Linked DNA regions of Danio rerio. The protein of the gene in region 2 interacts with the protein of the main gene of each other region in a pairwise test. Links are inferred from orthologs where the notes say so. Each region holds a gene or a part of one and is shown on either strand. Other genes may lie near its edges.

What was found. The genes of interacting proteins can lie anywhere in the genome.
Region 1: the proteins of mxd4 (region 2) and mlx interact in a two-hybrid assay, tested with the Homo sapiens proteins (2 studies listed by BioGRID). The link is inferred for Danio rerio from reciprocal best matches to the Homo sapiens genes MXD4 and MLX.

The regions. Positions count from the first base shown.
Region 1 is NC_133178.1:36,012,822-36,017,069, reverse strand, and holds the start of mlx (max-like protein X), read left to right. Parts: upstream 1-1,448; 5' UTR 1,449-1,489; coding exon 1,490-1,531; intron 1,532-2,386; coding exon 2,387-2,426; intron 2,427-3,860; coding exon 3,861-3,950; intron 3,951-4,248. UniProt on the Homo sapiens protein: Transcription regulator. Forms a sequence-specific DNA-binding protein complex with MAD1, MAD4, MNT, WBSCR14 and MLXIP which recognizes the core sequence 5'-CACGTG-3'. The TCFL4-MAD1, TCFL4-MAD4, TCFL4-WBSCR14 complexes are transcriptional repressors.
Region 2 is NC_133176.1:27,718,058-27,722,134, reverse strand, and holds the start of mxd4 (max dimerization protein 4), read right to left. Parts: upstream 2,801-4,077; 5' UTR 2,633-2,800; coding exon 2,569-2,632; intron 2,148-2,568; coding exon 2,051-2,147; intron 248-2,050; coding exon 218-247; intron 1-217. UniProt on the Homo sapiens protein: Transcriptional repressor. Binds with MAX to form a sequence-specific DNA-binding protein complex which recognizes the core sequence 5'-CAC[GA]TG-3'.

The DNA.
Region 1 (4,248 bases), on a different chromosome or scaffold from region 2:
CCCTAACATGTGTGCATATGTATAGAGTGTTTCATGTGTCCATATATCTATAGAATGTATCGCGTGTGTGTGTGTGTATGTGTGTGTGTGTGTGTGTGTGTGTGTGTGTGTGTGTCATGTGTGTATATGTATTGAGTGTATCATGTGTGTTTATGTAAGAAGCGTATTATGAGTGCATATGTATGGAGTATATAATGTGTGCATATATGTATAGAATATTTCATGTGTGTATGGAGTGTATCAGGTCCAGGTATTATATCAACTCCTAGTAGCTCCGAGACCTGGGTTCTATCCCAGACCCTGACATGAGTGTTATGTGTGTGTATATGTAAGGAGTGTATCATAAGTGTGTATATGTATGGAATGTACCATCTGTGTATATGTATAGAGTGCATATGTATAGAACGTATCATTTGTGCGAATGTATGGACTGTGTATATGTACATAGTGTATCATCTCTGTATGGAATGTGTCATGTGTGCATATGTATAGAGTGTGTTGTGTGTGTATGTATAGAATGTGTCATGTGTGTATATCTAAATAGAATGTATCATGTGTGCTTATGTATGAAGTGTACCAGGTCCTTTCGTCGTATGGGTTCATCAACTCTCAATCTTAACACATATATATACACAGTACAGTATATATACAGTTGATGTCTGAATTTATTTTTTTCATATTTCCCAAATTATATTTAACAGAGCAAGGAAATTTTTACAGTATGTCTGATAATATTTCAGCTAGAAAAGCAGTTTTTAATTAAAAAAAAATATTAATAATTTTAAGTTTAAAATTATTAGCCCTTTTATGCCATATATTATAGTCTACAGAACAAACCATCATCATAAAATAACATGCCTAATTACCCTAACCTGGCTAGTTAACCTAATTAACCTAGCTAGGTCTTTAAATGTCACTGTATAGAAGTGTCTTGAAAAACATCTAGTAAAATATTATTTACTGTCATCATATCAAAGATAAAATAAAGTTACATACCGTTATTATGAGTTATATTCAGGGGGTCTCATAATTCTAACTTCAACTATAGATAGATAGATAGATAGATAGATAGATAGATAGATAGATAGATAGATAGATAGATAGATAGATAGATAGATAGATAGATAGATAGATAGATAGATAGATAGATAGATAGATAGATAGATAGATGTGTGCGTGCGTGCGTGCGTGCGTGTCATTTACAATGAGTGATGTTTAACTCTAATTTTAACTCTTATAGCACCACCACGTGGAATAAATGACCACATACTGCTAAGAGATGCATAGATAAATTATAGTCTGATGCATATATGGACTGTATTAATACGTTAACGTGATGTGTAAAGAAAACGTGAATGAACGAATCAACACTAATGAGTTAACCGAAAGGCACCAAAATGTGTCAAACGCTGTGGGAGGATAAGTTTGTAGACAGATTATGGCCACTAGGAGGCGCAGCTTGTAACATCCCGTCATTGTTTATTCCAAAATGACGGAAAACAGCGCGTCGCCGGAGGATCCCTGGCTAAAAGTAAGCAAAACTAGTCACATAAAAAACATATTTTGGTTTTATACAACCCTTTCCTTCAGAATCACCCTCGTGATGCGTGTGTCTTTTAATCGCTGGTCCGTAGGGTTTGGTTTCACTCTCTAGCTCAGCTGGCTAACCTTAAAGTTCAGCAAGTCAAAGAACAATTATCCTCCTTCCCACATGACCCTAATCTGTCTTTCCAGAGCTGATATTGAAAACAAATCACTGCCGAAACAAAAACATTTATTATTCTGAAGGTTTATTTGAATAACAGTCTGTTTAAGCTATGTTGTTGATAGTATTAAGGAAGCTATGTAACAGATGTGCAAGAGTTGAAACCGCTAAGCTAACTTGCTTGTTGGCTACATTGACTATATCTGGATGTGTTTCAAAACGTATGTAACTGCCTATCTAGGCTGACAGTTTATTTGGCGCAGACAATTCGTTCGAACTACCGAACCGACTCCCTTGAAGGACTCGATTCTACCAGGTTCTTTCTTTTGTTTGTTTGACCCTTTGTTTGATTTCTTTATTGTCCCTTTTTTAACGTTATTCTCTTCATACGCACTAAATAAAGTACACCCTCATTTCCACACGCTAATGGCACTGTGACAATATGGCAGTGATTGCTCAATCTGAAAGTTTTGAGACACAATATGTATGTAGATGAAATATCAGCTTTTAAAGGGATTTATTTGGGACACATCACAGTAGGGAGTTAGATGTGTCCTAGATAAAGGTGTAAGGCAGGACAGGTCACTCAGCCTGTGTTTGGGTTGGTTATCAACATCAGTGTGTCTTGTTTTGACTGTTTTTTCTGTTTGTCTTTCTCCACCTCCTGTCACCATGTCTCAGCAGACGGATGGCACCTTCAGTGACAACGGCTTTGACCACAGTAAGTAGATCAATAAGTCTCAACTGTCAGTCGATACCAAGATGAAAAAAATGACTTTAATAACGAAAATCAGAAAGGTTATTATAGCAAGCTGTCTTTAATATTTCTAGAAATATATCTAATGTCATGCTACCTGTACTTTTTGATACTAGTATCATTTTAAGTACTATTACTTATTGATACATGCATTTCTACTTAAACATAGAAGAAAACCTCTCTCATAGAGAGAAACATAGTTTAGTGCACTGTCCTGCTCCTAACGTTTGTGTAATACTTTATTTTTAAATTAAGTGAACTATTTAGCAGTTTTGACGCAAAACAATTTAGCGCTTTTGTCATTTATTAATGATTTATTAATGATTAAAAAGTCTGTCGATAACTTGTGTTTGTTTGAATATTTCTTTTATTCTGAATTTTTTTTGCCATAAAGATAGCCAGTAAATCTGACATAGCATTAAATAAAAGATGTGAAAAGATACGACATTAGTACTCATTAATTTGTACTTTTTAATAGATAGAAGTACTTTTCATTAGATACTACCTATTAAAGCATCTGTTTATAGGTACCAGTATGTAACGATAAAGCACTAGAGTCTAAATAATAGAAACTAGTGTCAAATAATCTTCAATCAGTGTATAAAATATGTCACATTTGGAATACATAGTTGCCAAAACTAGATGTACATACTAGTGAAAATAGATCCCTATATACAAAAATGGAAACTATGTTAAATTAGAATAACAGCCCCCCTCTTTATTTTCCCCCAATTTCTGTTTAACAGAGAGATTTTCTCAACACATATCTAAGCATAATAGTTTTAATAACTAATTTCTAATAACTGATTTCTTTTATCTTTGCCATGATGACAGTAAATAATATTTGACTAGATATTTTTCAAGACACTTCTATACAGCTTAAAGTGACATTTAAAGGCTTAACTAGGTTAATTAGGTTAACTAGGCAGGTTAGGGTAATTAGGCAAGTTATTGTATAACGATGGTTTGTTCTGTAGACTATCCAAAAAAAAATTGGCTTAAAGGGGCTCATAATTTTGACACTAAAATGGCTTTTAAAAATTAAAAACTGCTTTCATTCTAGCCGAAATAAAATGGATAAGACTTTTTTCAGACGAAAAAATATTATCAGACATAATATTTTTTGCTCTTTTAAACATCATTTGGGAAATTTTTAGAAAAGAAAGTGATGCACTAGGGTAACAAGGTTATTAGTTCTATAATAGTTACTTAAAGCTAATATATTAATTACAAACATGCACGTATGAAAACTAATTCTATCATTCTATTTTTTTTTTATCTATAAAACTAACACTAGTATTAAAAACTGTTTGCTTTGTTCTGTGCAATATTGGACTTACCAAACACATGACAATTTTATTGAAATATTTACATTTTCCTTGACCTCCATATCTCTAGGTTTTTTTGCAGAGAGCGCACGTAAAGGAAGTTTGGTGTCTAGAGCCAACAGTATCGGATCCACAAGTGCCTCTTCAGTACCAAACACAGGTGATGATACTGCTATTTATTCAGTGTCAAACATAGCCGTTTGTTGTGTATATCAAACTCTTTACTCTGAATTTCCCATTGTTTCCTGTTCAGAATCACAAGGTTATTCATCAGTCACCTTTCACTGTGAATGATTCATCCATGCATGCATTTTATTCATTCCCTTTTCCTTCTTTTTATTATCGTCTTAACTGGATTTTCCTTTGGTGATTTTGCATGACAGACTTCATGTATATTTAAATACGTTTTAAACAGCTGACTTGTTATAATCTTTTTTGATAATCCACTTGAGTAACAG
Region 2 (4,077 bases):
AATATAATAAGCTATAATATTAAGGATAATAAGCTTTTTGAGAATAATAATAATCACAGATGGCTGCCAAGCAAATGTTGACTAAACCCTGCTGACCTATTATACAATTGGAATCGTTACTACAAGACAGCGGCTGTTAAGAACTTTGTATATAAATATGAAACATTTATTTAGTGATTACATGCAGGCTCTTATAGTATATCTGATATGTTCTTACCTGTGTTTTTCCAGCTCATTGTGTGATGACCTTAAAAGAAAGTAAACAGATTTAATTTTAGCGGTAAAAATAGATAAAATATATGTAAGTATATATACTTTAAAAAGTGCACTGACTCTATAAATTATATATATATATATATATATATATATATAATACTAATGAAATGGTGATAAAGTGAACCGATCTGGCATAATAGTGATCTTCCTAAGTACTGCAAAACTGCTGCATTTGCTTTTAGCATTACATATGCAATCTTGTTATTAAACTAGGCGTTATACACAGTTAATATACAAAAGCATCCTTATTGTCATGCAAAATATAAATAATCTAAAAAAAAAAAAGATCACTACACAAATACAATAGGACTGTAATAAATGCATAAAAGAACGAAAGAATGATTTTGATGCTCCCTGGCCCCTACTCACATACACGCACACACTACATTCTATCTAGATTTAAGCTAAATCATTCCCCATATCTTTACTGTGTCTATTAAGCCAATATCACAGTAAGTAAAGCTCTATCAGCATGCATCCAATGACGCAGAGGAAATTCAGCACGCTACAACGCATTGCTATTTTAGTCCAGAGTATGAATGCTAGGGTGTATGATCGGGCAATTACATTTTCTCCAAACAAACAAACCAACAAAGACATTGAGGGATTGCAGTGAAAGCAAGATAAAAGCAAAATATGTAGGTCATAGCATCAGTTGATAATTGTGTCAAAACTGCAGTGTACAGTTTCGGCTCCATCAAGGCCATAATATGGATTTTTCCCCCACATTTTCCTTATATGCTTTTTTGAGTATTAAATAAATGCAAATGACATGCATGTGATAGCAAAGCAAGACAAAGTTGTAAGTCAAAATGTCATTTGTGATAACAGTGCGACTAAAGCTCAATTTTAGCATCTGCAGCTAGTGTAGAAAATATGTTGCTGCTTGGAATAAAAGCTTTGAAATTAAAGTACACGTCTGCAATGCCAGATGTTTTATTTGTTTGTTTATTTGTTAGCTTCAATATGGGAATTTGGGTTTAATAAGAAGCACGTTATTGAGTGTATGTTTTTATTTTATTAAAACAAATTTAAGTCATGAATTTCTTAGACAGCCCTAGATCCGTAGATTTCCCCTTTTTTTCAGTGCTTTCTATGCATATTGTGGGGGAAGGGCTGCACACTGGGCTCCTGCTGTTTTGCTTTGACATTGCAAGGAAAAGGGGGCTAATGCAGCAAAACAGATCCAGGGGTCAAAGCTCTGTAGCAGCTGACTTGGGTCTGCTCACACCACACCCAGCAGTGAGAGTTTAACCACACCTAAACTAACCACACTACTATAAGCATACTGTCTATGACATAAGCATGTGACACAATTTTGAGTTCAGATGTAATGATTGGTCAAAACATTGTTGCAACTCATTGTTTGTTTTTTGATGTGTAAAAAAACATCACTGACACATATTTGAAAATATTCATGCTTACATAACACAATGTAAAGTACAGTAAATAGCTATACGCTTCTAGTTACTTCATGCACGTACGATAACTAATTTGTGCAGTCGTCCTCGGTCACCAAAAAGTTTGTGCTAAATTAAACGACCGGTGTTACAACAAGACAAATGATTGAGTTGAAGACAAATGATTGAGTTGAAGGCAAATGTCAGCAGTGGAAAAGGGAAAGCAGCAGCGGCCGAAAGTTGACGCTGTACGCGTGGCAATGTTTATACACAGCCAAGCCCAACAACAAAAATGGCGAATACATGTAACGTTAGAATACACTGTTGTAATATGTCCATCCATTATAATAGCAATGTCACTGCATTGTATTTACCTGTTGTTGTGGGGTTTTCTTGAAATGGGTGATTTAGTTTTCTTTCTGGAAAAGTCACTATCGTACGGCAAAACAGATGCGTAACCGTGTTCAGCTTCTAGTGAGAAAGTCAACGTAAATAGCATTGAATACAGACGTATGGGCTTTAATGAACAAAAATCAGAGTTATAAAGTTGGACAATTTATATATTTTATGGCAACCCGCTTCACAGTTGACGAATCATGATTTCAACTTAACTTACTGTAAAGCAAACACCCCCACCCCCTGGTTACATTTGACCTAATATTGAAAACGAAACAACATTTTAACAGTGCTAGAAATAATGACATGCTGGTAAGTCAAATCTTTCCAATTATTTAACAGACTTAGAATCCCACGACAACGAGATCATATCTTCCCTCAGGGCTTCAATGAAGATACACTTGATCTACAGACAGGTTTATAAGTGTCAGTCGACCGGTAAATCAACGAAATATCACAAAGAATAGTTTTAGTTCAGCAGATATAATCATGATACCTCTGTCTCTTCTTTCCAAATACTCTGCTGCCTCAAGAAGTAGGAGAAGAGAATTAAGTTCCATCCTGGTGTATTTGCAGAAATAAAATTACACACAACAAAAACGAATGCACACTTTAACAAAAGGTATAAATCAAAGAGAGAAACAAAATAAAAACAAACAAACAAATAAACAAAAAAGTGATGACGCTCGATATGAACGGTTCAATTCTGAGTCGTACAGACTCTCAACAAAAATTAATGCAGACTGCACGTAAACTAAAATCTGGTAATTGATTGATGGTTTCTGTGTCCAATAAGACGACAGAAAAGTATGAAAGGCGGGCCTTAAAAACATTTGTATCCAATCAACGACTTCAAAGAGAGAAATTCACAGGAAAGATGTTGACACATTGCGAAATGTCATATGATTGGCTAGTCAGTGATAGTAACAATGTTGAAGCCATGCCCTAGCAACAGTACGTGCGACCCAACCCCCATATCGCTCATTGGTCTGACGTATCATCCACGTACCCATGATTGGCTGAAAGAAACACAGGGCGTGTTTTCATATAACCCCGTTTAGTAAACTTATGCTGGCAGTGGCAAAGTTGTCTCTGGAAGAACTCAGCGGATAGAAAATGTTTTTCAAAGTCAAGTTTCTGATCGTTCACTAAGGTACATTCACATTAAAATACGAGCGCAAATCACTGATTCGAGTTATAAAAGTAAGGTCATACTGGACACATATTTATTATTAAATGAAACCGTCAAAGTTTGCTTATACTTACATAATTACGTGTAGGGCGCGGTCGGCTCTCGGGTCATCTTTATGTAAGTTACTACAAGTGGCTACTTTCCAAAGCAAGACTTCTTTTCTGATCCTGTAGCTATAGATTGCTGTGTGTGTATTTATTATGTATTATTTAAAAGGTAACAAACTAGTAATTTATTATTGATTTGCCAAAAAAAGTATAGAATAGATAAAAGTATTTGCATGGCAGTAAATAAATATTTCTTATTTTTTTATTTTTCTCTGAAGAACTTGCTAAAAAAATGTTTCAGTGTGTGTTTGTTTGTGCAGTTTACTCAAATATCATTTGTGATTACATACTCACACTCTAGTTGTGATTACAAGGACATTTGCAAAAAAAATCTATAAAAATAAATAATAGTTTACACATATTAATAGTATTTATACATATATCAAGCGGGTAAAACGTGTATTGGACATGTCATGATTTTTCCTGGTAGATATATAGGCTTATAGGTGCTGTTGACATAAAATGGCCCAGATGTTGATAAAACACAAACAAATAAATAAACCAAGAGAAAAGAAAAAAATATTATGTGTAATAACAATGTAGTGGCACAAGAAGAAGACATTGAACTACTGAAATATATTTAGTGACAGCTTTGAGGCTATATAAAGTCTATTTCTATAAAGTCTGATCTTTAGTTCTTATTTTCAACTGGATTCAGGTCAGGTAATTGGCTGAGCCATTCTAGCAGCTTTATTTTCATTTGTGA